3 linked regions of the Oryctolagus cuniculus genome follow. The protein of the gene in region 2 purifies or fractionates together with the protein of the main gene of each other region. This does not show direct contact. Links are inferred from orthologs where the notes say so. Each region holds a gene or a part of one and is shown on either strand. Other genes may lie near its edges.

Evidence for each region. The genes of interacting proteins can lie anywhere in the genome.
Region 1: the proteins of SMARCB1 (region 2) and TOP2B fractionate together in Homo sapiens (co-fractionation; 3 studies listed by BioGRID, with this or other methods). This does not show direct contact. The link is inferred for Oryctolagus cuniculus from reciprocal best matches to the Homo sapiens genes SMARCB1 and TOP2B.
Region 3: the proteins of SMARCB1 (region 2) and BCL7B purify together in Homo sapiens (affinity purification with mass spectrometry; 6 studies listed by BioGRID and IntAct, with this or other methods). This does not show direct contact. The link is inferred for Oryctolagus cuniculus from reciprocal best matches to the Homo sapiens genes SMARCB1 and BCL7B.

What each region holds. Positions count from the first base shown.
Region 1 is NC_091435.1:161,754,731-161,765,136, forward strand, and holds the start of TOP2B (DNA topoisomerase 2-beta), read right to left. Parts: upstream 5,269-10,406; 5' UTR 4,671-5,268; coding exon 4,605-4,670; intron 1-4,604. UniProt on the Homo sapiens protein: Key decatenating enzyme that alters DNA topology by binding to two double-stranded DNA molecules, generating a double-stranded break in one of the strands, passing the intact strand through the broken strand, and religating the broken strand.
Region 2 is NC_091452.1:30,732,279-30,741,885, forward strand, and holds part of SMARCB1 (SWI/SNF-related matrix-associated actin-dependent regulator of chromatin subfamily B member 1), read left to right. Parts: coding exon 1-59; intron 60-5,444; coding exon 5,445-5,582; intron 5,583-7,745; coding exon 7,746-7,873; intron 7,874-9,607.
Region 3 is NC_091450.1:50,470,636-50,480,703, reverse strand, and holds the start of BCL7B (B-cell CLL/lymphoma 7 protein family member B), read right to left. Parts: upstream 5,269-10,068; 5' UTR 5,120-5,268; coding exon 5,028-5,119; intron 867-5,027; coding exon 791-866; intron 1-790. UniProt on the Homo sapiens protein: Positive regulator of apoptosis. Plays a role in the Wnt signaling pathway, negatively regulating the expression of Wnt signaling components CTNNB1 and HMGA1.

The sequences.
Region 1 (10,406 bases), on a different chromosome or scaffold from region 2:
ACCAAGTAATCTCTCACTTTTCAGCCTATAAAAACTACACTATAATAGATACATATACCCTTAAAAGGAAATACAAATAATAATGCCTTTACTTCTTGTATAAAAGGTTAATAAGAGACAGGTATATTTCAGAAATCTCTTTTAAAAAAAAAGATTTATACATAGAGAGGAGGAGAGGCAGAGGGAAAGACAGAGGTCTTCCATCTGCTGGTTCATTCCTCTATTGGCCGCAATGCCCGCAGCTGCAACAATCCAAAGCCAGGACCCAGGAGTTTTTCCAGGTCTCCCACAGCGGTGCAGGAGCTTGGGCCATCTTCTACTGCTTTCCCAGGCCACAGCAGAGAGCTGGATTGGAAGTAGAGTAGCCAGGACTTGAACCAGCGCCCATATGGGTTGCTGGCACCGCAGGCGGCAACTTTACCTGCTACACCACAGTGCTGGCCCCTCTCAGAAGTCTCTTAAAATCTGTCACATCAGGGTGCTTTGTGTTTGAATGTTTTTAAGATGGGCAGCTGCATAAATGATGGTTAAGAACATAAACTGATTTAAATCCCACCTTTGCCTTAAGCAGGTGGTTATACACAATTTGTTGACTATTCTCTAAAACCCCTAGAATTACACCCATTCTTAAAACTGGATCCTTTGGTGTCGAGATTTTTAAAAATAGAAAGTCTAAAGGCAACTGTTGCCACCATCTAAGTATCTAATAGATTTGAACACACAGAAAACTTAGCACTGTTTAGGAAAAGTATTTCAAAGTACTATTATGTTTTGAAAATATATCTAAAGAACATTGCTAGTAACCACCTGTTACTGACAGAAAAATTTCTGGAAGTCAATAAGCCAATAATTCAACTTGTTAACAGGTTGAATTATGTATCCAGATCTTTGGTAAACACAATAAAGGCCATCAACAGGGTCTAACTTCGGAAGTTTATATTTTTAAGATAAAACTGACATGCAAGAAAGTTACAAAGACAGACTTACGATTTCTAAGAACAACAAAGTTTAAAGAGGAAAAAAAGATGACAGGATGACTATAAACTAGAAAATAAGTTTGGTGAGACCGAGCTAGTCTTGAAGAATAAAGATTCAGACTGCTAAAAATGGAGAAGGGCATTCCTGATGAAAAGTAAGCAAGCAAAAGTAACCCAAAAAAGGCATAATTTATATAGGAGACAGTGAAGAGATTAACTTTGGGTAACTCGGGAAATAAATTTCAATGGAGAGGGCACATAATTTATGAAAATCTGCCTGAGGAATTTAGAATTTCAATAATGAGTACTTAGAGTGCTGTTCTATAAATCTTGAAGTATTTAGTCATGTTTGACTCACAGTCAAAAAGGCATATGCCATATATTTCAATGAATTTTAAAAAACAAAAATGTTAACTTTTAAAAAGAGACTTAATTTTTGATAACAAATATTAAGACAGTTAAAGATGAAGTGATGTTGGGGCCAGCGTTGCAGCGTAGAGGGTAAAGCCGCCGCCTGCAGTGCTGGCATAGCATATGGGCGCCGGTTCTAGCCCCAGCTGCTCAACTCCCAATCCAGCTCTCTGCTATGGCCTGGGAGAGCAGTAGATGGCCCAAGTGCTTGACCCTTGCACCCACGTGGGAGACCCAGAAGAAGCTCCTGGCTCCAGGCTTCTGATCGGCGCAGCTCTGGCCATTGCGGCCAATTGTGGAGTGAACCAGTGGATGGAGAACCTCTCTCTCTTCCTCTCCTTCTCTGTGTAACTCTGACTTTCAAATAAATAAAAAAATCTTTTTAAAAAAATGAAGTGATGTAATTTTAGGATTTGCTTTTCTTTAAAATAGTGAGAAGGGGAAAAGTAGGTAACCTTAAGTTGACAATTATTGAGGTTTAATGTTAGAAGAGGGCTCATTATATTTTGGCTACCACTTTTTAGATACTTACTTAACATTTTCCATTTTTTAAACCAAGTTAGAGTGTTACTAAAAAACATGATGAATAATGACTATATTCTAATATTTTTATAGATTTGCTACAATCGCCTAAACATGATAAAAAAAAAAGAGTAATAGAATGAAACAAACTATTATGGTCTGCTAATCAAAGCTTTCAAACTAAGAATTAATTCAAGAAACTCCACTGGCTTCAGAGAAACCTTTATACCTGTAGTCTATTTGAACTCAAAATCCTTACACCACACTTAAAGTATTTATCACCTTTTATTACAAAAATACTGATTTAGATACTGCAAATCCCAAACAGATCAAATGAGTTACTAAAAAGAAAAATTAATGCCAATCTTAAACCTCTTTGCTCTATGGTTCCAGGTAGTGAAAAAGTAAACTTTGTGCAATGACAATGTTTAACACATGCTGGTACACAGCCCAACGGAAGTTAACAACCAGCAACACATGGCATTCAACCCACTCCCATCCACCCAGAATATATAGGACTATTCCATTTTTATTTCTGTCATCCACAAGCAGGTGGCAACCTAACACCAGCTTCAATAAAGCAAAGTTACCCCTCTTGCAAAACAGATGATTACTGCAATAAACCCTGAACTCTTGGAAGGGAAAAATTTTTTCACTGCAGCTAAGAGCGATTTTTGTAAAAGCAACTGTGATGTATCATTTCAGAGTGTGCAATTCTTGAATTTTGCCAATTATAACATTTATTAAGCCTGGCCCTGTGCTACCTTATCTAATTTCTCATTGTAACCTTATTGGATGAAGAAAGAAGCTTAAAAAGGTTAGGTTCCTTGCCAAAAATCCCACCAACAGGACACGTTGGACATATGATCTGAACCTATATTAATCAGAGCCCATAGCTATTTCATTATATTGCCTCCTAAAGAATTAAGCCAATCTGTGGTCACCAAAGTATATTATGGACATTAAGATGCTCATGTAAACTAAAATTTAAAGTAAGCATCAAATCTTAACGAAAACTTACAAAGGTGATTTCCTAAGTAAACTTCCTATTCAATAACATATACCCTCAAATAAATCATATTTCTCCATTTTACTGTATACCCCATGTCAGTTTTACAGCAAAAAAAAAAAGGTCAATTTTAGTTTCAAATGGCTTTCCTAATGTTGACTGAGACTATTCATGTTTTGCTAAATTTCTTCTGTAAATGAAAGTTTCCTATTGAGCTTGAAAGAAAAAGCAGTCATGTAATTATTTACAAAGTTAAGAGTTAAAATTAAAATATTGCTATCATGTTAAAACAAATTCAACCTTGCAGCAAAATGTTTATCATTATAAATCAAAGGGTCCTCAGAGAAGGCATGGATCAGGCCTCAACACTTTTCCAAATAGTCAAGGAAAGTTCAGGATACCATCTGGCTAACTAACTCCATTGCACATCTCATTTTAGTAAGGGGTTAAGGACCACCAATTTCAGAAAAGCTCTCTTCTGCAGATACCACCACCACCACCCCTTCCCCCAGGTTCACATGGACCACAACTTACTGACATTTTCTCTTCTGGCTTTAGTCAGTTCATACTTTCACACGACAGTCTTGAAGTAATATAAAAAATTCAGAAACATTCAACCATAGAGCCTGGCAACTTATTTCGCGAAGTACACCGGGACACACTTAAATGATGAAAATGTTTTTCTGCCACTAACAACCCTGTTTACAAGGGACAATTCACCCTAGACTCACCCAAAGACAAAAGGAAAATGAATGTAGTAATCCAAATGCCAACAGAAGTTCACTTGGGGTGTTTAAAAGGCCGGGGAGGTAACTCCATTGAAAGCCCTGAGTAGCAGTCAGGCAGCTTCGCTGCAAGTGTTGTGTGTGTAGGAAGTGACCCTGGTCTGAACTCCACGCTGAGCGCGTGAAACGCCAGCGAATTATCGATCTGCCGTGGGAATCCGGCCTCTCCAGTTCTTCCACTCGCCGCAGGAACCGAGCGCCGAAATCCTTGACCTACAGCCCCACGCGCTCGGGTCTGGTCGCCTCGGCCCCCACCCGCTTCACCTGAACCGCTGACGTAGGTAAGCGCTTCTTTGAATAATCCCACCCTGACAGATGGACAGAGCACCGCACATTAACCGCTGCGATGCCGTGACCCGGAGCCCTCGCCATCCTTGAGATCGCCCAAACTCCAGTGCCGACTGCTCGAGACGTCCAACCCCATTCTCTGAGACTGGAGCGCCAGCGATGGTTTCCTTTGGCGCGCGCACACACACACACACCCCTCATTCTCCCCGATTTTCCTGCTCCACCTTTGGAGAAAGCGCCGACCCACCCACACAGGCACTATGGCTAGCCCCACTGCCCTAGGAGCTAGGAAGAGAGAGAGAGAGGAGGCGGGGGCTACACGTTGTGTGATGGTGGATCCCCCCACACCACCCCCCAAAGTTTCAAGTGCACGCCTCGTTCTGCAGCCTGAGCTTCCGGAGAGGTAAGAGAAGGAATGCAGGAAGAAAAGAAAAAAAAAAAAAAGGCGCGGGGGGCTCTGCAGACGGGATTGCCCCCCTTCCTCCCCTCCCCCCACGGATCGGCCCCGCAGATTCCACCCCCTCCCCCGCGACCACCACCACCCCCACCGCGGGCCGCGAACAAAGCGGCGGCCGGGACGCCCGCCCCCCCCCGGGGGGGCCCGCCACTCACCACCCAGGTCAGCGCCCCGCCGCCCGCGCCGGCTCCAGCGCCGCCGCCGCCGCCCGACTTGGCCATGGCGGGCGCCTCCCGCTCACAGGCCCCGAAGCCGCGGCCGCCGCTCCCGCCTCCCTGCGGGCCGCTGGGCCCCGCCGCTCCGCACCGACCGCTCCGCTCGCCGGGCTCCTAGCCGCGCCGGCCCCAGCGCCCCATCGCCGAGACCCGGAGCGGACGTGCGGCCGAGCCCGCCGAGGAGGCCGCGCCGCCAGCCGCCGTCAAACTCGAGGCGCGGCGGCCGCGTCGCTCGGGCCTAGCGCGGCGCCTGAGGAGGAGGCGGAGAGAAAGCGGGAAGCGGCCGGCCGCGGCGCTGCCTCTTCCGCGGGCCCCACAGCCAGCAGGGCCTAAGCCCGGAGGCTCGAGCTGCGCAAGGGCGCCCGGACGTGGCGGGGACGCAGGGGCGCCTTGTCCTCCTCGCTCTCCGCCAAGGCCACAGCTCCGGTCGCCGGAGTCCTCGGCGCGGTCGCCGCCACGGCCTCAAAGGCGGCGTCCGACAGCCGCGCTGCACTCTCGGCCTCTCCACACGCACACAGCGAGAGGGACAATAAACAGAGCCGTCGCCGCCACGGTCGCCTCCCTCTAGTCCGGCATAACACCGCACACACACATTCGCGCACCCGGGTGGGGAGGGCGGGCGGGCGCGGCGGCAGCCCCCGCTGTCCATCAACTCCCCGCCGTCCAATCGGAGCCTTGTCGCCACTACCTCTCGACCAATCCCAAAATTCCAAGCCCCCCGGAGGGGCGGGACCCCGAGGGGGAAACGTCATTGCGGGTAGCAACCGAAAGGCAGACTTGAGGTTTTTTTGTTTGTGTGTATGTGTGTGTATGTGTGTGTGTCTGCTGTGGGTTTCCATTTGAAGGGGCAGCAGGGGCTGCTGTCAGGGGTCATTTGAGGGCGGCCAAGGCAAAGGGGCGAAGTGGCCTCGAGGCGACGGTAATCCTCCGAGCGCGCTGTTTACTCCAACACCCGGCCCGGGCGCCCAGGCGTTTCTTTGCCAGGGGCCCGCTAGGGCTGGGGGTGGGGCAGAGGGTGGGGGTGGCAGGAGGAAGCCGGGGGGCGGGAGGGGGAGTGTCCCAGCGGGAAATTATTTTTAAAGAGCGGTTGTAAACCGCAAGCGAGACGTTGTAGGGCACTGGTGCAAGGAGGGCCCCGTGACCCCAGCCTCCCCAAGGCCTCACATGGACACTGCTGTAGAAAGACATGACTCAGACCACCTCCTCCCTCCCCCAAAAAAGGATATGGTCCCAAGAAAACTGCACAGAGAGACGCGCCGAGAGCGTTCCAGGAACAGAATGCGGGCCCGGGGGGCCCGGGGTGAGCGTTCTGTTTCTACTTGACCGTGCTCGCTTCTGAGCCATGCGGAGATGTCACTGTCACTTTTCTTTCTCCAAGACCTTTAAGAAGGGACGCTGCATTTCAGCTACATTCAGCGGAATTCTCAAACGCACACTGAGGAATAAATCTATTCGCATTTAAGCTTTCTAAGAACGAACATTTCCCGTATAGCAACACCAAAGCCTTTGGCACATGGAAGAAGGCGTCTCTTCGTCCTGCTCTTCAAGTGTAATTCCATTAAACCAGTATTTGTTGGACACACACCTGCACCCTATGCCAAGCTCTACAATGGGTTCAAAATGAGAACAGTGCCCGATCTCAAGTCATTGATAATCTGGCTTGTTAAGAGACTCCAAGGGCGTTATCCATAGCCAAAATTAGTACTTGAGGGCTTGAAGAGCTACCTAAGAGCTGTGAAAGGAGAGCTTTAGATCAAGTACTTCTGCTTTGTGAAAAGGTGTTATTTGTGACTGTCTCGTCCAACTGTTCACTTCCTCTCAAGGGAAAACCGAAGTGGCTCAGGTTACATCTTTCAACTGCATTCTGAGTCCAGAGGTGCGGAATTCTGAAACATGGAAATAAACCAAGTTTTTCTTAATTAGCTCTCTAGTGGCCATGAATTTTGGGGACTTTGGTTGAGAACAGTGGGACCTTTCTTTACCTTGAACTTGGGGTACAAGCTGTAAATCTGACCAGGGTCTATTCTGGGCTGAGAGCCTCACCAACTAGCATCCATTGCCTTGTAATGTAAGTTCCCCACACCTCAACGTGTGCCTTGTTACAATGAGGACTTTCACTCTTGCATTTACTGCGACTTTAACATCTACAAATTCATATATGTTTTATGTTTAAAAAGAGTTAAACAATTTTTAAGGTTGTGAGGTTTTCATGAAAACACGCATAGAAAAATCCAAGTCATAGTCTATATAGCTGTCTTTTTAAAACAATTTCAGTTTTCAAAGCTTTTCACCTTCAAATTTGGAATAGAATATTCAAAAGTCAAACAGGTTCATGAAAATTATGTCCCTGTCACTTGCCAAATGAGGCATTGACTTCTTTAGCCAAAGTATGAAGAAACCCTATAACAAATGTTCCTTCCTAACATTGACTTACCTAAAAGAATCACAAATAAATGAGATTGAATATACATGCAAATAAATTTTAAAACAGGCTTATGATGAATGGTAGATGAATACCTCGATGAGCGATATTCAAAAAGTTTGTGGAAAAGTGCCTATTATGAAAAACTATGGGGCATTGGTGCTGCGGCATAGCAGGTAAAGCTGCTACCTGCAGTGCTGGCATCCCATATGGGCACCGGTTTGAGTCCCAACTGCTCCACTTCCGATCCAGCTCTGCTATGGCCTGGGAGAGCATTGGAAGATGGCCCAGGTCCTTGGGCCCCTGCGCCCATGTGGAAGACCTGGAAGAAGCTCCTGTCTCCTGGCTTCATATCAGCTCAGTTCTGGCTGTTGCTGCCAATTGGGGAGTGAACCAGCAGGTTGAAGACCTCTCTCTCTCTCTACCTCTCCCTCTCTGTGTAGCTCTTTGAAATAACAGAATCTTAAAAAGAAAGAAATTATGCATGGTTTCATAAGTTTTCATGACAAAGTAAATCTTATAATTCCATTTCTCCACGAGTTTTTGAAAGTACTTTCACATCAGATTCTAAAAAAAGTTTGTGTGATAAAAAATTATTTTTACTTGAGCACCACTTTGCCTTCTGGGGTAATGGCAATTTTCATTTACAAAGGAATTATAGCAAGAATTGTCAAGTTAAGAAGCTTTGAAGGATGAGCACTTAGCCTAGTAATTAAGACACCTGCATCTCAATTTAAAGTACCAGTCCTGGCTCTGGCCTGGACTCAGCTTCCAGCTAATGCAGATTCCTGAAGATGGTGGTGATGAATCAAGTAATTGGGTGTCTGACACCTAAATGGGAGACCTGGATTGAGTTCCATCTTCAAACCACTGGTGGTTGTGAGCATATGAGAAATGAACCAGTGGACAGAAATAATCTTTCTCTGCCTCAAGCAATTTAAGATATTTTTTAAAAAGCTTCCAAATCAGATGTTTGTTTAAAGGTTCATTTATTCTGAAAGAGCAAATGAGAGATCTTCCATCCACCTTTTCACTACCCATATGGCTTCAATGGCCAGCACAAAGCCAGGAACTTCCTCTGGGTCTCTGCACATGAGTGGCAGGGAGTCAAACAGTTGGGCCATTTTCCACCACGTTTCCTAAACCGTTATCAGGAAGCTGGATCAGAAGTGAAGCAGCTAGGACACAAACCAGCACTCGTATGGGATGCCGACATTACAGGCTGCCTCATTACCTACTATGCCACAATGCCAGCTCCAGCTTTGTCTTCTTTTAGATTCAACTTTATTTGTATATGTATATATTTTGTTTAAAGTCTTCGTTTCTCCCATCCAAGTACTAACCAGACCCAACCCTGTTTAGCTTCTGAGATCAGACAAGATTGGGCACGTTCAGGATGGTATGACTGTCGACAAAAGGCTTCATCTCTATCCAATAGTAAGCATTAGCCATGTGAAAAACTGGATAACTCAGATTTCTATAAGCTGCACAAATAAAGGCCTTTAATCAAACTTTCTATGTAACTTCCATAGGACCTCATCCTAACTACTTCAAAATTTATTTTTAGGTCTATGTTTTTAAAATTGCATATTTCTCTTTTAAAAAAATATTTTTTTGAGAGGAAGAAAGAGACAACAGGAGAGCTGCATCCACGAGTTCACTCCTTAAATGCCCACCATGGCAAGGGCTGATCCACCTAAAGGCAGGGGCCAGGAATCCAATCGCTGGAGCCATCCCTGGTGACTCCCAGGGTCTGTACTGGTGGGATCTGCAGTCAGCTCAAGCTAAGCTTCAAACTCAGACCCTCAGATACAGGACACAGGTGTCTTAACCACTAAGCCCAATGCCTGCTTTGCCGGCTTCCCTGCCCCACGCAAGAAATATTTAATCAAATATATATTCTGTTAGGTACTGAGTATCTGGAAACTTTAAAAGGTGATGAAGATGCAGTCTCTGCCTTGAGTTTACGCTAGTGTAGGTTAGAGCTAACCCTTTAGGTCTATTAAACAGCGAATGAATGAATTGCTTTTAAACAGTTTACTTAATGAGTCACATCTACCATTGCACTTTATACCCAGCAGATAATCTATTCAATAAATGAAAACGTAAGATGGCACATCACAACTATACTGCCAGGTATCTAGCAATGTTTCAACAGGATTTCTGCTTAAATCACATGTTACCGTCATATTGAAACTCATTTGGAGAAATAAGGGAATAATGTTTAACCTAGTAAGCATTTACAGTTAATACTTGAATTTAAAATGTAGTGTCTTATCTCTTTCTCCTGATGTTGGCATATATATATAATGTATATATATATGCAATGTATATAAAGTTGCCAGCATAAAACCTCACAAAAGATGAGAAAACCCAATAACAATTTGTCCACTGGTGACTATTAAATGTACAAATTTAATTTAGCTTATTGTATTTCTTTAGAAGGGACTTCAAGGCTTTAAAGTTTATCAATGTAGATTTTTGGTTTTCTGCATATCTATAGTAAACATTATAATAGCTTGACTGATTTTTGGACCACTTAGTTGCCTTACATGTTTTATAATTACATTTTTACTTCTAAAAAAATACTTAAACACCAAAGGTAACAAGTGTTTGTGAATACCTGAAGATAACAATGATGATTATATTCCTGAGTATCATTACCAATGGTAAGATAGACAAAAACTAAGGGGAGACGTGGGAGTCTTTTCTGATTGGCTTTTACCAAGTAATCTATACTTATCCTCTGATAATGTTCTATTTTGTTACACAGACAAGGGAGACTTGCACTTATTTTACATTATACACATCAGTAATAGTTTAGGGATCTTAACTGCTCTGGTCAATTATGTAACAGAATACAATTAACATTTGCCTCATTTAAGAAAGCTGTTGTGACTTTTGCAAGATAAATAATAGGTTGGACTAAATAATAGGTTGGACTTTCAAAGAATCTTATCATTCTGAGAGAACTCTGCATTGGGGGACGCTAGATGCTATCATTGATCCACATTTCATCAACAGAATATTATACAATCTTAGCATGTGTGTTGCCAAGTGTTAGTTGAAGTTTCTTGTTACCCAAAGTCATCCATAGGTTTCTAAGACTCAAACCTAAAGAAATGAGATAGCAGCGGCTTTCCTAACTCAAACATTTCCATTGGAGAACTTGAGAGAACTCAAAAGCCAGAGTTACCAAGTTGCTTTCTTTCTGTGGTGTAATAGTTTTTAATTTGGGGGCAGGGGGCGGGATCCCATGAAGGATGAGGAAATATCTGAGCAGAAGCAGCTAAATAAAGCCTTTAAGTTTGAGGAATTTC
Region 2 (9,607 bases):
GGCAACGATGAGAAGTACAAGGCTGTGTCCATCAGCACGGAGCCCCCCACCTACCTCAGGTAACGCTCTCCTGGCCGGCCGTGCCCCGGACACCCGCAGGGTGTTTTCTTGTGCTTATGAATTGTTTGGTGTGAAGTGGAACTGAAATACTTTCCAGCATTTTATAGATGTTGTTAGCCGGGTTTCTAAGTTTCTTCTGAATCCTGGAGACGGGTTAGGAATGCCTTGAGAGTAGAGATTCGACAATGGGACAGAATTGTTAGAAAACGTATTGACTCAGATCAGCTCTCAGAAGAAACAGCAGTAGGGTTGAATGTGTAAAAAACTCGGAAGCTTTAAGAGAGTCTTTGCAGTGAAAATTGAAAAGGCAGGTAATTGGGTTGTTACGAACTATCTCAAGCCTATACATTCAGGTTCATTTCACTTTAAAGATTTTACTTATTTATTTGAAAGGCAAAATGACGGAGAGGAAGAGATAGATAGATAGACAGACAGACAGCAAGAGATTTTGTCACCTGCTGGGTCACTCTCCAAATGCCTGCAACAGACAGGTCTGTTGGGCCTGGCCAAAGGTAGGAGCTAGGAGCATCTCCTGAGTATCCCACATAGGTGACATTGCTCAAGTGCTCCGGCCAACCCAGGTGCATATTATTAATTAATAATAGCTAAATCAGAAGTGAAGTAGCTGGGAATCAAGCCGGCAACTTTGATATGGGGTCCAGGCGTCCCAAGCAGCAGCTTAACCCTCTGTGCCACAGTGCCCACCCACATTCAGATTCATCTGTTGATACCCTAATAGATGAGTAAATAAATGATGACCCACCTCCAGAAGTATGTCTGAGGAGTAAGCAAATGCGGGAAGAATGCTTGTCTTTGTCAATTTTAGCATTCACAGTCACAACAACAAAAACACTGTGTGAAGAATTGGAGTTAGCTCTCTAGATGGTTGAGTTTTTGTAAAGCAGTATGACATCAAATATTTTTTGTTCTCTAGCTCATTAATTTCATTTTAAAAAAAGATTTATTTATTTATTTGAAGAACAAAGTTAACAGAGAGAGGGAGAGACTGTCGCTCCCCGTCTTCATGGGGGAACGACACTAAACCCTGCCTAGGCTTCATATCCGAGTCACGGCACCATTATGTCGCTCCCCCTCTTCGTGGAGGAGCAACACAGGACCCTGCGCTGTTCTTTCGTCTGCTCGGCCCTCCCCGGGTTTGCTGCTGGTTCTTCCCGGGTTGGCTACTATCCCTTCCACCTCCGTGGAAGGGCAGTTCCCCCTGGCCGCATTCCCCACTTCCGCAGGGGAGCGGCACACCGCCGGCCAGCTTTCTCGGGGGCTGCACGGGTTCCCTTTAGATGTTCCCCATAGATGTTCCTGGTGCATGCCGTCTCTCTCCTCCTTTACAGTCCTCCTCCGCCAATCCCAACTCGGCTGAGTACGCTGCTCTCCAATCAGGAGCAAGTCCTACAGTTTATTAGTTGAACTGGAGGCAGCTGTGCGGAAGCTGTTTACTTCTCTCCCAGCGCCATATTGTGGGAGAGCAGATGCATAGAATAAGTCCTAATTCGAGTAACTCAGTCTGGTCCGGATTGCTCCCCACAGATCCCCCTTTCTTTTTATTTTTTATCGTTGATACGCGCCTGTCCTCGGTGTCCCGCGGCACACACTCTGCTCTACTTGCTAGAGCCGCCACAGGCTCTTACAAGTCCTATCAATCAGGAAAACCGAATCCGGGTCCTCTCTTCGCCATTGTGAGGAGGTTTTTAGGCGCTGATGCGTGCCTGTGTTCGGTGCCCTGCAGCGCATGCTCTGCTCTGCTAGAACTGCCTGCAGGTGTTTACAAAACCTATCAGGCAAACCGAATCCAAGCCTTCTCATTGCCTTATTGTGGGGGAGACTTATTAGTGTTGGTTCGTGCCTATCTTCGGTGACCTGCAGCTCATACTCTGGTCGAGCTTTGCTGGCGCTTACCGCCTTAAATCAGGCAGACCGAATCCAAGCCTTCTAATTGGCATGTTGAGGGGAGGCCTTATTTTTCTCTATTTCTCTATCTCCGGGCATTCCTACCTCTCCCATTTCACTTCTATCTTCCAGCATTCCCATTTCTCTTTTACTTCACTTCCAAACTTCTGTTTCTCTTATCCCTGCGGCTTTCCGGCACCTCGCCCCGCCGGCGGGTTCCCGGCTCTGCGCCGCTTCAGCCCGCGCGCCTCTCTGCGCGGCTTCCCGGCTTTGCGCGGTCCGCGGTCTCCACGCTTAACCCTTTCGCGTCTGAACCACGGCCTACGCCAGCGTTCCCTATCTATTCACGCCCCGTGCTCTCTCTGCACGCGGCGGCTTCCGCGAGTAACACAGCGTAGCTTGCGTCTCCGCCACTAGGATTCAATCTAAGTTCCCCGGGCTAGCCTGGCGAATTCAACCCAGCGTACGTCTCCGCCCCACGATCTGGCTTCCCGTCCTTTGCTCCCCGGGCTAATCAGACGGATCCCAATCTGGCTTACGTCTCAGCTTCTGGTTTTAACTTTTCGCCCCCTATTCCCGGGCTAACTTGAGAATCCCAAAGTGGCTTTCGTTTCCGCCTTGGCCTGCCCCCCGCGGCTTCAATTTCCCTAACATTTTTCTCTACCCGGTATGTTTCCCCAAGCTTTCCTCCAACGATATTCCTCCCTCATTTCTCCTGGCCTCTCCCCACAGTCCGCGTCCGAGTCTGTTTGTTCTAGCTTTCACTTTCGCTTTCGACCTTAGAGATTTCTCCCAGCTTCCCCCCGTAGTCCGTATCCGAGTCTATGCCTAGGCTTTCAATAGCTTCTTCCGGCACCCTTTTCGTCCGGCTTTTCCCTAGGCTGTTTGCTAGTCTCTCTCTCCGGTAATTTCCCTAGGCTGTTTGCTAGTTTCTCTCTCCGATATTTTCCCAGTTCTTCCCGTTTCTTCCCTCCTGAGTTTCGTATCCGTCCTAAGTTTCCTATCCGAGTCACGTTTCTTCCCTCCTAAGTTTTCTATCCATCCTAGGTTTCCTATCCGAGCTAGGTTTCCTAACCGAGTTAGGTTTCCTATCCAAGTCACGGCACCATTATGTCGCTCCCCCTCTTCGTGGAGGAACGACACAGGACCCTGTGTTGTTCTTTTGTCCGCTCGGCCCTCCCCGGGTTTGCTGCTGGTTCTTCCCGGGTTGGCTACTATCCCTTCCACCTCCGTGGAAGGGCAGTTCCCCCTGGCCGCATTCCCCACTTCCGCAGGGGAGCGGCACACCGCCGGCCAGCTTTCTCGGGGGCTGCACGGGTTCCCTTTAGATGTTCCCCATAGATGTTCCTGGTGCATGCCGTCTCTCTCCTCCTTTATAGTCCTCCTCCGCCAATCCCAACTCGGCTGAGTACGCTGCTCTCCAATCAGGAGCAAGTCCTACAGTTAATTGGTTGAACTGGAGGCAGCTGTGCGGAAGCTGTTTACTTCTCTCCCAGCGCCATATTGTGGGAGAGCAGATGCATAGAATAAGTCCTAATTCGAGTAACTCAGTCTGGTCCGGATTGCTCCCCACAAGAGACAAGGATCTTCATCTGCTGGTTCACTCCCCAAATGGCTACAGTAGCTAGAGCTGGGCTTCTTCCAGGTCTCCCAAGCTCTTGGGCCATTTTGTGCTGCTTTCCCAGGCACATTAGCAGGGACCTGGATCGGAAGTGGAGCAGTCGGGTCATGAATTGGTGCCCATATGGGATGCTGGTGCTGCAGGTGGCTGCTTAACCTGTTACACTACAGCACCACCACCACCACCTCAAGGCAAACCCTTACATATGAGGTCTTTGGAAAGTTCCTGGAAAATGGGTATTATGAAAAAACAATGCATGGATTTCAAAACACCACAAATACATTTACCTTTCTAATCCATTCTCCAGGAACTGCTTGAAGTTCTTTGCTGTGTTATCATTGAGTAGCTTCTGTAGCCGCCTCAGGCAGGTGGTATATAAGACTGTATTGTATGCTTTCATCACGCAAGAAAGTGGGCTTTTGTACGCACACGAGCCAGGGAGCGCTGAGGGAGGGGAAGGGTTACTGTTGGCAGTGACGTGGTTGTGGAAATAATTTCTTGCCAGCTTCTCTTTCAACTCCGCCTGGGGATTGTTTTTATGACTCGCCCAGGAAAAGTGGCTTGTCGCCAGCCCGGCCGGCACACTAGACGTGTGCACTGCAGATTCTCGTTCCCCTGGGGATGTGGCGAGAACACAAGGAGGCCTAGACCCTCGGGGGAAGTCGTGGAAGGAAATTAGCTGCATATGGATAGCACTTTCAAGTTTGCATGTGTCAGCTTGGATCCTTTTATGGGGTGGTAAACAGCTTCTTGATGATCGGGTCACATGAAGACCAGCTGAGGCAGGGGAATCCTGATCCCTGGAGGTGGGGACGCAGGAGGGGGCACAGGTTGGAGGATAGCACCTTGAGCTGGCTTCTGGCTGCCCTGTTAGCCCTACCGGGGGCCTGGCAGCCTTCTCGTCCATTGTGGAACTACTCGGGCAGAGGCTGGATGCCCCTTCTCGGGGGTCTTAGGAGGCTCTTGCTGCAGAAGGAATGTTGACTTTTCTTAATTCAGGTCCTGGGATTCTGTGCTCATGTGAGGATGTGGTTCATGTCAGCTGTGCCTGTGAGCTGTGATATGATTGACACTGCCCACCTGAGCTAGCTGCCGGACAAGAGGGCTTGGGAGAGATGAGAGAGGGACTGCTTTGAGATAGGGCAGGAGTCGGGGTTAGGGAGTGGGCCTCCATGCAGCCTCCAGGAGGACGTCCAGGCAGGCACGAAAGAGGAGCGGTCGAGAGCTGGGGTTTCCACATAAACTCCACTGCCCTGGCATCTTCCATGGACGTTGTAAAGAATGCACATTCCTGGGTCCTACCCCAGAGGTAGGGTTAAAATCTAAGTAAATTTATGGTGGAGGACAGAGGCACAGGCCAGGGTCTGCCCTAGCCTTGGGCCCATTAGTTCTTTTATTTTTCTAAAGTTGAGGCCACTTAACACCACCCCTCAATTGTGGATGAGGACAGAAGGGATTTACGGTAACCATTTTAGTGGGCACTAGAGCAAGTCTCCTGTTCTGCAGGTCTTGCTCTGATCCTGTGATTAGTCTTCACCTCACACCCAAGACCTGGAAAAATGAGAACATGGACCTAATTTGGGCAGGGGCTGAGAACTGGGTCAGCAAGCTCGGATCCCCATCGTCTGAGCTGTCTGAGCTGAGCCGGTGGTTCCTGACGCTGGCCATACAGTATGCTCACATCTCCCTTCCGACCCCTCGGAGACTGCCAGCCACCTGCCGAGGAAAGTCAGATCCTCGGGGAGCATGTGAGGCTCATGTTCGGGAACCTCTCTGTCTCCACCCCAGCCCCCTCGCTGGGGTGCCTCCTTCCCAGAGTAGTGATGGCTCTCTTTTCCCTGTTGCCACATCTCCGCAGGGAACAGAAGGCCAAGAGGAACAGCCAGTGGGTGCCCACCCTGCCCAACAGCTCCCACCACCTGGACGCCGTGCCGTGCTCCACCACCATCAACAGGAACCGCATGGGCCGGGACAAGAAGAGAACCTTCCCCCTCTGGTGAGCCTGCACAGATTCCGCCCGGGCCCAGCACATTTCGTCTCGCCCCTTCCCAGCAGGACCTTGGGTTCCCCAAAACACTGCACTGCTGCCTCCTGCTCTTCCTTGGAAACACTGTCTCCTTGGGTGTCTTCAGACACTGCTGCTCTCTGGCTTCCCCAGCTGCCCCGCTCCACCTGCATCAGTGTCTCATTGTTGTTCTCCCATTTCCTAGCCACTCAAGTCGTGTTCCTGGGGTGCAGTTCTGGGGCCTTCACTCTGCCCTCCGTTTAAAGGCCATCCATGTAACTGCCACTGTGTCACTTCCTCGGGGCTGCTGGAATGGGCCCCTGCAAAGCAGGTGGCTCTCAGCAGGACACACCGCTTCTCCTGCAGTTCTGGGGGCCAGGAATCCCAAGTCAGCTTCACTGGGCTGAACGTAAGGTCTGAACAGTGCTGCGCTCCCTCCGAAAGCTCCAGGGCAAGTCCCATCCTTGCCTCTTCAGCTCTGGTGGCTGCAGTGTCCCTCAGCTGTGGCCGCATCATGCTGCTGGCTTCTTCCCTGGCACATGCCCCCAAGTGATTGAAATCCTCTGTCTCCAAGACCCTGGGATGGTATGTGGGATCATCTCTGAGGACCCGTCACTTAATCACACCTGCACAGGCCTGTTTTAGGCCATAGGAAGCTGTGGTCATAGGTTTCAGGGGCTAGGATGCCAGCACTTCTGGGGCCATTCTCAGACTTCCGCCTCTACCCTCCCTTCTGTAACCCAGGCCTGCCCCAGCCGCCACCCTTACCTCCTTGGCCTCATGCTTGCTGCCTGCTGACTCGGCTTGGGATTCTGCTCCTCGCCCAGGCCAAAAGCCTGGGCCTCTTTCTCCCTCTCTCTCTCTCTCTCTCTCTCTCTCTCTCAGCCCCTTCCTAAAAAGTCCTTTGACAATCCAGGCCTGGACCTTGCCTTGGCCAGCTCCCCACCAACCCTGGCTACGTATTGGCAGCAGCCTCAGCCATGTGTCGCCACCGCATCCTCAGCCTGGCAGGCAGTGTGGGTGTCCTCACCCTGGGCAGAGCCAGCTGCTCCACACAGAATCCTCCAGCTTTGCCAGCACATTCAGAGCCAAAGCCAGGCTTCTCCTGGGGCTGCGGGCATGCAAGCCCCACCATACTCACTCCACCTTACGCATGGCAGCCTCCTCGCTTTGGTCACACCTCACACTGACGGAGCTGTAGCCCTGCACCCTCTGCTGGAGCTCACTTCTTGTCGCCGTCTCCATGGCTTGCCCCATCTTCCCTCTCTCCCATCTCCTTTCGGGTGTCACTCACCTCCCCCTTTAGAAGGCCACTCCTGTCTCCGCACCTGTAACCCCCCTGCCATCCTCACTTCTCAGTGCAGTTGCACCTGGCACCAGGTGTGTTTTCCCTTCCCTGTTGGTTTGTTATCTGTTTGCCAGACTCTAAGGGCAAGGCAGATCTCAGCCCTCTCCATGTTCTTCAGGTGCCCGGGTCTCCCCTGCTTGCCTGCGTCATCTCTTCCTCTTTGTCTTCCTAAACCATGGAATTCCCTCACGGGTTGTCCTCCTGAGCTGCAGGATGGAGCCCAGTCTCTGCAGCCTGAGATGGGGAGCCATCAGCTCTGGGATACCCACTGGCCTTACAGTCCCATCTCCTCCATCCCCCACCACCATGGGATCTACCCTCTGCTCTCAGTCGTTTGATTGCCATTCCCTCAGCTCCTCCGCTCTCCTGCCTCTCAGCCTTTGCTCAAGTATTTCCTCTCTGCAAATGCTCTCCTGCTTTCTCACAGCTTTCTGCTAATGTCCTGCCTGCTGTGGGCCCAAAACCCACCTCTGACGCATTTCTGGGTCTTGTTCTGTTGCCCAGGGCAGCAGCTTCCTTCCCTTCCCTGAGCATCCTTGAAACAGTCAGCTCTGCCCTGGTGAAGCACTTGCCACCAGCAGTCTGGCGCTTGGCATCATGGCCCCTTCTGTCCCCATGAGACCATGGCCTCCAGACCCCTGGTGGCCATTGGTTGACAGGTGCGTGTGAGAAGCAGCCTCTTTTCTTCCAGCCAGGTTCGCAGTGACTCCCTGTACAGAGAGGGAGGCTGGCAGTTCACTCCCCTGGAGCCCTGGGTACAGGGATCGTGACGCCCTCACTAATGATGGCTGCTGTTCCACTTTCAGCTTTGATGACCACGACCCAGCTGTGATCCACGAGAACGCATCCCAGCCTGAGGTGCTCGTCCCCATCCGCCTGGACATGGAGATTGACGGGCAGAAGCTGCGGGACGCCTTCACCTGGAACATGAATGGTAGGTGGGCATCAGGCTCTGCTAGGAGACTCATGTAGTTTTGGATGTGGATCTGGGGTCAGTCCTGGTTCTGAGCCTATGTCTTAGTCCATTTTCTGTTGCTGTAACACAATACCTGAGACTGTAATTATTTATAAAGAGGTTTGTTTGGGCCCATGGTTCTGGAAGCTGGGAAGTCCAAGGTTGCACTGTGGCATCGTCATGGTTTTTTTAAATTTATTTTTTTAAAGATTTATTTATTTATTTGAAAGGCAGAGTTATAGAGAGGCAGAGAGGGAAAAGTCTTTCATCCACTGATTCACTCCCTAAATGGCTGCAACTGCTAGAGTCTGGCTGATCAGGAGCCAAGAGCTTCTTCCAGGTCTCCCACATGGGTGCAGGGGCCTAAGTACTTGGCCATCTTCTACTGCTTTCTCAGGAGCATTAGCAGGGAGCTGGATCAGAAATGGAGCAGCCATGCTTAAAGCGGTGCTCATATGGGATGCCAGCACCACAGGTGGGGGCTTTATCTGCTATGCCACAGCACTGGCCCCTGTGGTGGTTTCTGATGAGGCCCTCGTACTGCTTTGGCTCAGGGCAGAAAGTAGAGGGCAAGTGGACATGTGTGAGACAAAATGGGGGTAGAGCTGCTTTCTAGTCTCGGGTAACTAAACCAGCCCCGTGAGAGTGAAGACCTATGGGAGCAAGGCATTAACTCATGCGTGAGGCTCTATCCCCAGGGCCCAAACATCTCCCACTGCAGCCTCCTTCCAACACTGCTGCACTGGGGCCAAAGCCTCAACCTGCGCTCTGGTGGGACAGACCACATTCAAGCCACAGAAGCAAAACGTGGACATCCAGTTCCATCCTCTCCGTGAGACTGGGTAACCCAAAGGGCCTGGCGCTTGATGACAGAGATACTTCTTGGACTGGTCCATGGTCCAGCGCCTGCCCTTCCCACCCTGCTCCTCTGATGTGTCCCTGCATGCTCTCAGGCCTCTGCTCTTGCCCTCACTCACCTTCCCCTCAAGTCCTGGGTCAGATGCTGTCTCCTCTGGTTCCTCCTGGCCTTCCAAGGTTTGAACATAACGGTGGTGGCTGTAGGCAGAAAGGTCAGAGGATGTGTGCCCCGCAGTGCTGGGGGTATTCATCCCAGCTGAGAAGGTAGAGTACACACATGTGTTCTTTTACATTCTGTTCATTAATTCATCTGAGAGATGGAGAGCTCCCGTTCTCTGGTTCACTCCCCAGATACCCACAACAGCCAAGACTGAGCTAGGCTGAAGCTAGGAACTCCCATCCGAGTCTCCCACATGAGTGGCAGGGACCCAAGTACTTGAGCTCTCAGTTACTTCCTCCCAGGGTGCAAATTAGCAGGAAGCAGAGCTGGGCTTCAAACCTGGCACTCTGATGTGGGACATAAGCATCTCCCAGCCTAGCATCTTAATTGTGAAGCCAAATTCTTGTCCCTACGTGTCTTTATTTTCTTCCTAACTCTATCAGAATTTTTCTGGTGAACATACTTATATTTAGACAATGTGCTTATTTTTAAGTGCATACAAGTTTTTTTTTAAAAAAAGATTTATTTATTTTTATTTGAAAGTCAGAGTTACACAAGGAGAAGAGAGGCAGAGAGAGAGAGAAAGAGAAAGAGAGGTCTTCCATCCGATGGCTTACCCCCAATTGGCCATAACGATCGGAGCTGTGCCGATCTGAAGCCAGGAGCCAGGAGCTTCCTCCTGGTCTCCCATGCGG
Region 3 (10,068 bases), on a different chromosome or scaffold from region 2:
TTCCGGATGCAGTTTTTAAATCAAGGTTTAGCAAAAGAGAAAAAACACCAAGAAGCTTACAGTACAGGACTACATAGAGTTTCGTAACGAATACCCACATTCCTAACCCTAGGAGGCAGCCAGGCGGTAACTTGGGCAGCTGGCTCCCTGCTCACAAACACGGAGACCTGGACTGAGCCCCTGGCCCCTGGCGTCGGCCTGGCACAGCCCTGGCTACTGCAGGCGTCTGGAGCGTGAACCAGCAGCAGTGAGCCGACAGATGGGGGCTCTGTCTCTTAAAGAACAAAACAAAAACAACCCATAGGAAGCAATGCTATGTGTTTTTCCAGAATACACAGGTTCCCAAACCAATCAGAAGACAAGGAGTCAGAAAAGTACAAACCTTCACATACATACTACAGCGGGTGGCTAACAGGTGAGAACGGGCTCAGCAAACCTTTTCTTAAAGGGACAGACCCATCCTTAGGCTGTGAGGCAGCACAGGTCTAGGGCAACTACTCGGCTCTGTGGCTGTCACAATAAAGCACCCCGTGGGCATGGCTGTCTTCCAGACCATACTCACGAACACAGGGCTCAGGCCAGGCTGCAGGCTGCCAAGCCCTGGAGAAACAGACACGCTCAGGAAGAGAATAAAGGGTGAAGATTTTAGTAACGAGAGGCCTTGCCTGGAGCAATGACAGAAGGGTCCCTGACGAGTTCGCAGCTCAATCCTTTACCACTAAGAGGCAACCAAGGAAAGAAAGAAAGAAACGGGTACCTTGTGGTTGTTCTCATTGTCTTCCACACTTACCTCCTTGCTGTCTGTCACAGGAACCCACTTAAATATCCTAAGGGATGTGTCACCCACAGTCACCCACTTTTTCTCCCTAAAAGAAAGACACTTCTCAGAACTAATAAAACAAAAACATACATTTTCTGTTCATTGCTTATGTTTCTCTAGTCTTAGCCAATCAGTCCTTCCACCTGGAACGCCCCCTGACGTCCCTCTCCACGGAGAGACCCCTCACCTCACGGCGCAACCTCGTCCCTTCCAGAGACTTCCCTATCAGATGCGTCCGGTGCTGAGCCCTGTCCCCGTCACCTGTCCTCAGGAGCCCGGACCTCGGCCGTACACAACTCAGGGCATTGCCAGCTCAGCAACTGACCTGGCATCACCCTTCTTTTCCAAACATTGAGTCCACCCCACGGCTATGTAGAAAGTGCTATTCCAGAAGGCCCTGCAGGAGACACAAGATGCTGAAGACATGGTCTCTACCTTCCTCCCTGGGAGCTCGTAAGAGATGGAAACACTAAGGAACATCACCGCCTACCATGGGGGCGGCGAGGACATCAAGGAGGCTGAAAGACAAGGCCAGGCGAGGCTCAACTATGGAGGGGCACCCTTGTGACTTCTGTAGCACAGACAGCAAAGGTGGCAGCGTGGCGCCACCCACGACATCAGCACCCCGTAGCGGAGCCCTGACTTGAATCTCTACCTGCTCTACTTCTGACCCAGCTTCCTGCTAACATGCCTGGGAAGGTAACAGAGGACGGCCCAAGTGCTTGGGCCCCTGCCACCCACAAGGGAGACCTGGATGAGTACATGCCCCTGGCTTTGGTCTGGCCCAGCCCCAGCTGTTGTGCCCATTTGGGGAGTGAACCAGCAGATGGAAGATCGATCTCTCAGTCTGTCACTCTGCCTTTCAAGTAAATCAATAAATAAATCTTTTAAAAACAGTAATAATAATCCCAGAAGCAAGACAGGATGCTTCTGGCTAACAGAAGTAGGCCTCACACTGGCTCTCAAAGGAGCTTTGGGGTTTTATTTTACAGAGAAGGCAACTTTCAGATATGCCACGAGCCCCCTTTCCCCAGCACATACCTGGGCAAAGGAGAGGAACATTCTAGAATACGGGAGACTATGGACAGGCAGAGGATGCAGTGTCTGAAGCTGTGTCTGGTAATAGCAAGCAGCCCCTCGGTGGGAGATGAGGCTGGAGGGGTTTGAGGCTACTCTGCAAAGGGATTGAGCAACCTACACACACACATGCACACACACTCCTTTTTGTTACCATGTGTGCTTTTCTTCTCCCCAGAGTGAGGACTCATTTGGCCTGGAACCTTCCCTGAAGCCCGGGGAAAAGCCCTGCAACCATCAACCAACTGCCGAGCTCATCTCCCAGAAACCGTTTATGGATCAAACCGTGACCGGAGGCCGTCGGCGGGTTTCAGCACGGCGGCTGAGACGCCTGCAGCCCCATCAGCGCACCTCGGCCAGTCCCTGGCTCTGGCTGGCACCTATGCAGACCCTGGCTGTGGTAACGGGCACTGCCACCCATGTGGGGGACCAGACTGCGTTCAGCTCCCGGTTTCTGCCCGGCCCAGGCCTGGCCACTGTGGGCATTTGGGTTGTGAACCAGTGGGCAGGAGTCCATTCTCTAACAAGTCTTAACACTAAAAAAACAAAATAGGCAGGGCCAGCACTGTGGCATAATGGGTAAAGCTGCTGCCTGCAGTGCCGGCATCCCATATGGGCACCAGTTCAAGTCCTGGCTGCTCCACTTCCGATCCAGCTCTCTGCTATGGCCTGGGAAAGCAGTAGAAGACAGCCCAAGTGCTTGGGCCCCTGCACCTGTGTGGGAGACCTGAAGGAAGCTCCTGGCTCCGGATCATCACAGCACCAGCCATTGCATGCATCTGGGCCACCTGGGGAGTGAATAAGCAGATGGAAGACCTCTCTCTCTCTCTCTCTCTCTGCCTCTCTGTAACTCAGCCTTTCAAATAAATAAAATAAATCTTAAAAAAAAAAAAAAAAAAAGAAAGAAAGAACAGAAAGCTCAGAAAGAATCGTTTTAAAAAAATAAAATAAGGCACTCAAAACAGCAATTCTAAGCTCTCTGTAGGCACAGGCCCCTTCTTGCATGCTCCTTATTAAATGATGTCACATGTGTGCCTCTGATAATGTTTTTGTCTCATCAGCTTATTTACCAAATTAGAATCTCAGTAAAGATAACAAACTATGTAGCACATCTTCAAAAATCCCTATTATTCCATTACCACTAAACATATAGACAAGCAGAAATAAACTTAGGGCAAATTTTTTTAATTAAAGCAAAAATTTAAAAAGAAGGTTCTGGTCATTTTAGTGTTAATCTCTTAAGTCACTCTGGTCATGGACTGGCTGCCCTGTTCTGCTTCCATATAAAGATTCCTCCAAGGGAGAAAGGACCACGGGGGACACACACAGACAGACAGACACAGACACACACACACACACACACTCTCTCTGCTGGGTGGGAGCGGCAGGCGTGGACCCGGCCTTGGGATCCCTTGCTGTTCTGCCTTACCAAGACTGCCTAAGGAGACAGCTAATCTGAAGAAATGTTCAGATTTCAACCTTCAAGTTCAAAGCTCTGGAGAAATCCTCATCACTCACAAAACAAGCAACGGCTCAAGACCAGGCCAAGGGCTTGCTCAAGACCACGAGGGCCTGACAACATGAGCTAGACCCAGCGAAAGGAAATCAGGCCCGTCCTAAACTCAACACAGAGCAACACGCTCGACCTGCTCTGAAGGGCTGCCAGCCAGTGTGTGTGCAGGTGGGAGCTGGCTTTCCAAGAAGTTGCCTCTCGGGGCTGGCGCTGTGGCGTAGAGGGTAAAGCCCCAGCCTGCAGCACTGGCATCCCGTATGGGCGCCGGTTCGAGTCCCGGCTGCTCCAATTCTGAGCCAGCTCTCTGCTGTGGTCTGGGAAAGCAGTGGAAGATGGCCCAAGTGCTTGGACCCCGGAACCCGCGTGGGAGACCTGGAAGAAGCTCCTGGCTTCAGATCGGCGCAGCTCCGGCTGTTGCGGCCAATTGGGGAGTGAACCAGGGATGGAAGACCTCTCTCTCTCTCTAACTCTGCCCATCAAATAATGTAATTAATTTTAAAAAAAGAAAGAAGTTACTTCTCTAAGACTGCTTAGTACTTGCTGTCAGCCCGAGCAAGAACCAAATGCAGGGAGCTGATGTCTCGCGGACCTGAACCGCTTTGCAAAGTTTCAAGGCCAAATCTGAAGTTTATACTAAATAAACACATAAAAGTCACTACTGTCACAGCTGCTATGAAGCAAATAATGCCATCAGGAAATGCAGAGAGGTGACGATGGACTGGAAACAACGAGCTAAAAAAGGCTCAGGGGGCACCGGTTCCCGACCGGTCCGCTCCGTTTCCTCATCTGCTGACCACGTATTCAGTATCGAAGACCCTCGTCTAGGAAGGCAGGGAACGAGACGCACGGCCCCTTCCCTCCCAGGGCCCGCATTCCAGCCGCAAGCGGACCTGGACAACTCAGTCAGCGCTAGCCGTCCCAGCGGACACTTCTGGCTTTCGGCGCGGTGACCGGAAGCCAACGGAGAGCGAGCGAGAAGGCCCTTCCGGCCTGCGGGGAGGGGAACGCATAGCCAGGCCCACACGGGAGCCCCCGGGCTCCTACCTACTGCTGGCTAGCTAGAGGAACAGGCTCCGGGAGCTTCCGGAGCTTCACCTGCGACTTCAGGGGGCGTTAGGGGAAAGAGGCAGGTTTCCTTTCCGATGACCACCACGCCTGCTCCCGCGGCAGGTGGAATTACCGGGAGAACTCTCAGATTTCGACTGTGTTATGTGGAGCGCTCAGCCGGGCCGACCGAAGCCACTCGGGGGATGGCTGGCTCCTAATCAGGGGGAGGACAGCACGGGGAGACAGCAGCAGCGGCACCAGCCCGGGACTCTGAGCCAGGACCCGCAGGCCCAGCGCCGGCCCGAAGTCCGCAGCCATCCCCGGGCCGCGCGCGACCGCGGCAGTGGGCGGGGCAGCCAGCCGGGCGGCCCGCTGATTGGCCCCGGTCGGCGCTGCCCTCTGACCTCACGCCGACGCCGGCGCGCCCTCCGCCCGCCCTCTCCCTCCCCCTCCCCCTCCGGAGCCGGCCGGCCGGCTCCCACCCAGCCTGCCGGACTGGCGCTCCTCGGGGCCTGGGCCCGCAACACACGCGCGCGCGCGCGCGCGGGCACCCTCGGCTCCCGCCCTCACCATTTCCGCACTTTCTCGATGGCCGCCATCACCTTCTTGATGTCGTCCTTGGCCCGGCTGCGGGTCTCGGCCCTGACCGACCGGCCCGACATGGCGGCGGCGGGAGCGGCGGGGGGCCGGGGCACTGCTCCCAAGACGCGCGGAGAATCGCGCGCGCCTCACACGCGCCGCCGCCACCGCCACCGCCACCGCCGCCGAAGCCGCAGCGTCACCGCGGCCGTCGCCCCCTCCGTGCGCGCGTGCGCGAGGAGGCGCGCGCACCCGCCCGCCCCTTGGGACGCGAGCCCTCAGCGCGCCTGCGCGCCCCGCCCCGGGCGGCCCTCCCGACCCCCGGGCATGGGTGCCCCGGGCCTGGGCGCGCCGAGCAGGCTGCACGTGCTGCGGGCAGGGCAAGGTGCGAGGCGCTGCCGGTACAGTGGGCGGGGTGTCCGCTTCTGCCCAGGGGCATTGAAGGTCCGCGCCCTTGCACTGCGTCCAGAGAAGCTGGGAGCCTGGCCCCGGTGGGACCTGAGTGTCCGCCCCCCCCCCCCCAGGACTCCCACTGGGCTCCAACGGCGGGGAGTTTGACACCTGTCTGGGGTGTGCCTGCTGTTCTTGGTGCTCACCCGAGGAACTGGCTGCTCGCTCTTCCAGAATCCGGTTCAAACTCCAGCCTCCCGGGGTACCCTAGGGTCCCCGTGTTCGTTCTTAGCACGATTCCACTGCCACCATTTAATGCAGCGGTCACTGGTTTCAGCGATGATGCCTTGGGAGGTTTTGGTTTTGTTTTTTCAAGATTTGAAAGACACAGAAAAGGGAGAGAGAGATCCTCCATTCACTGGTTCTCTTTCCCCCTAACGCCTGCAACTCCCAGGGCTGGGCCAGGTTGACTCCCAGAGCCGGGAACTCAATCCAGGTCTCCCGCGGTTGTGGCAGAGGCCCAAATTCTGAGCCATCCTCCCAGCTTGTGCATCCCAGGAGTGCCCCAGGCAGTCGGACCGGGGTGTGGGCATCTCAGGCAGCTTAGCCCGCTGCCCCGGAACACCACCCACGATGTGTTTTTGCTTTCAAAGAGCTTGGAGTTCAGTAGAACATGCAGACCAGGAAACAAGTATTTAAGATGCCATTTGATGAACACTAGGTTAAAAGAGACAACAAAGTGACCTAGAAAAAGTGCCCTTGAAGCTGATCTCTGCAAACAGGGCAGTCGCTAATGCCTCAAGGCCTCACTGCCTACAGACTCTCTAAACACTGCCCCCACCCACCTGCCAGCAGTCACGCATTCGTGCCCACGGGATGGAGGGAGGGTCCTGTGGCCGCAGCTCCTGGGGACGGCAGGAAGCAGTTCTCTAGGGAGATTTCTCTCTAGGGAGAGAAAGGCCCAGCGAACTTTGGACACAACAGAGCCTGGGACTGTGCCCATCTGACCAGTACCAAGACTTGACAAGCACACGCCCTTCTGTATTGGGGGGGGGGGGCACCAGGAACAGCTTCTGCTTGACTTTGGTGGTGGTGGGGGGGGAGAATGAGTTGAGAAATAATAGGATCACAAAGAGGACACATCTGTTTCTGAAACCCAGCTCATGCACAATAACCCAAGCACCGCTGGTGCACCTGCTGTTTGCCCTACAGCAGTGGACACATTGAGTGAGGCAGACACACTGCTTGCCCTTGGGGTGAAGATGAGGAAGGCAGCAGGGAAACCCAAGACAGAACAAGTGCCACGAGCGATGCTGGCTCTCGACAATTCCACAATTTGACTCACAGGGCCCCCAATTCAGGCCCCGAGTCCAACAGCCAACACCTGGAGGTGATGGCTGATTTGTCTCCCATCCATGACCAAGTCCCAGCCAGCCTCCTCCTGAGATTTTTTTCTTATTTATTTGAGTTACAGAGAGAGAGAGAGAGTTCTTCCCTCCACTAGTTCATTCCCCAAATGACCACAAACGGTCCAGGCTGAGCCAGGCCAAAGCCTGGAACCTGGAACTCCATTAGGGTCTCCCACCTGGATGGCAGGGGGCCCAAGCACTTGGGACCATCTTCTGCTGCTTTCCCAGGCACTTTAGCAGAGCTGGATCAGAAGTGGAGCCCGCAGGACTCGAACTGGGGCTCATGTAGAATGCTGGCATCGCAGGCAGCAGCTTGATGCACTGTGCCACCACACTGGCCCCCAGCCTGAGGTTTGTTGCCTGTTAACTTACTGCCCCTCCCAAATGCACTTGCCCTGGTGTCCACCGTGCTCATCAGCCACCTTTCTTGGGCCACCCCTGCCCCAACTCCGAAGATGCCCAGTTCCTCGCATTTGTCCATGTGGCCCTGCGTTCCTCAGCTCATCTCACGCTGGAGCTCACTCTCTCTGTAAGTGACCAAAGTGCTGATGGGAACCCACCAGCTACTCCCTACAGGCTATGCAGGGGGCATTCTGTTGATACCCTTCTAAAAACTCACACCTGGCCAGGGCAAGGCCACACCAAAGCCAGGAACCTCAAACCCAATCCATGTGTCCCATGTGGGTGGCAGGGGGCCAAGTACTTGAGCCACCCCCTGCTGAATCTAAAGTACAGAGTAGCCACCCACGGCTAGAACCAGGCACTCTTGACAGGGAATGCAGGGGTTCCAAGCACACAACTCCCATGCCAGAGCTCTGTCTTTAAAGATTTGAGTTAAAGAGGAGAGGCACAGGCAGAGAGAGAGAACTTCCATCCAATGGTTCACTCCCCAAATGTCCACAATGGTTAGAGCTGGGTCAGGCCAAAGCCAAGTAGCCAGGAGCACCTGGATCTCCCACGCGGGTGCAGGGGCCCAAGGACCTGGGCCATCTTCCACTGTTTTCCCAGCTGCATTAGCAGGGAGCTGGATCAGAAGTGCATCAGCCAGGACTCAAACTGGCACCCATGTCATTTTGGGATGCCGCCATTGCTGGTGGCAGCTTAACCCGCAGCCACAGCGCTGGCCCCAGGAGACTGAGTCTTAGGCAGGCAGGACAGGGTCTTCCTAGTGGTTTCCATGCCACACACATACGCACTGCCTGAACTTGGGCCTGTAGGGACTTGGGCCATATTCTGCTGGTTTCCGAGGCCATAGCAGAGAGCTGGATCGGAAGTGGAGCAGCTGGGACTTGAACTGGTGCCCATATGGGATAACCCACTGAGCTACAGTGCCAGCCTGTTTTCAATTTTTGATGCCTGATCTAGATTATGTAAACAGTAGGTGCCTGATCTAGATTATGTAATCAGTAGGTGTTAAGATGCCCACGTCCCCCATCAGCGTGCCTGGGTTCAGTTCCTAGCTTCCTGTCCATGCAGACCCTGGGAGGCAGCAGCGACAGCTCAAGTAACCGGGTTCCCGCCCCCCATACTGGAGACCTGGATGGGGTTCCTGGCTCCGAGCTCCATCACAGGCATTTGGGGGAAGTAAACCAGCAGTTGGGAGCTGTTTCTCTGAGTGTCCAAAATAAATAAATCCCCAACTTCTACTGAAAATTTTCAAACTCACTGGAGTTGAAATAGCATTATAAAAATACCAATGCTGCCACCACACTCTCAAGTATTTTTATCAAGAAGCAAAAAACAAAACAAAACGTAAACCACAGAAAGCCCCAGCAGCTGCTGCGCCCACTCCCCCCCCCCACCACGGGCCCAAGGGCAGCTTTCCGTCCCGGAGGTCTGCAGTCACCTTTCCCTGCTGTCTCCATGCATCGCATCAGAAACTCACGAGGCGAGGTGAGGTAGGAAGAACAGAATTTATTCCCATTTTACAAACAAGGAAACAAACTCAGAGCCGGCGTGACCCGCCTGCGCCAGGTCTCCCACCAGCCGACGGCAGGACTGAAGACTCCTGCCTTCAGCGACAACATCCCACAGTCGCTCCCTCTCCGGGCTGTGAGACGGGAGAGTGACCCCAGAGCTGCTTCTAAGAACAGGGGGGCCATGGGGCTTTAGCCTCACGCTTTGGACAACAGTACGCTATTCACAGGCCCCGTGTGCACAGATACCTTAGTCGGTCAGATGTGTGTTACCAGGAGCCTAAAGCAGAGACTGGCAGTATGAAGACACACGGAGAGGAAACCAGTCTCCGTCCTGTGGCCCTGGCTCGAGTTCAACATTGATTGAGTGCTTACGCTGTCCCAGGTACCACCGCGCTTGGGACACGGAACCAAGGAGCTGGGATCCTGCCCTGGTGGGGGGGGGGGGGGTCACACACGCACGTCCCAGGGGGGGTGCCTCAACAACCCAGGGGCTGGTCTGAAGGATGAGACCCGGCCCACACTGGAGTTCTTTTTTTTTTTTCAAATAAGTTGCCAACTTCTAGCTTCTCAGAAACAAGTGACGTCTGTTAGATCCCCGGCCCCTCCCCCCGCCGAGGACGCCCGCGCTCTGGCTCACCGCAGTCCCCACCATTTCTAACTGTCTTATGGGCAGGCGGCAGGGGGCCTACCACGCGTTTATGCTACCTCCTTGACGGAAGCAAGCACTGGCGCCGCAGACACGTATCCAAACAAGAGCATTTCAGAGAGCGAACGCTGCAGATACGGCGGACAGGGAGTGCAAAGGCCGCGACGTAATTGGTGAAAAGGGCTACTTCAGATGGGGTGGTCAGGAGAGCTGGGTCGTGCGCCAGGTGCAAACGAACAACCGCGGCTGGAGGCAAGCCCAGAGCAAGGCTGGGGCGAGCGGCAGAGTGTGTCAGGAAACAACAGAAAGCAAAAAGAGAAGCAGGAAAAAGGAGGAAGAAGCCAGATTCCACGGGGACCCAGCAAGCCAGCCAGCCTAAGAGTTTTGGACTTTATTCCCAGCGTGGTGGCAGGCTTTTCAAGGGCTGCAACCGCGGACTCCCGTGACCTGCCTTGCATGTTTTTCCCCAAAGATCACCCAACTGCTTAGCAAAGTGCGGCTCAGCAGAGGAGGCAGGGGGGCCGCTGGGCGACAGTGGCTGGGACCAGGATGGTAGCAGAAGAGACGGAGGGAGGCGGCCGCCTCGGCATCTGTCAGCTGCGGCGCAACCAGAGGGACTTTCTGATGAGGAGTGGCAGTCCTGGCAGGAATGGCGGGAGGGAGGCAGT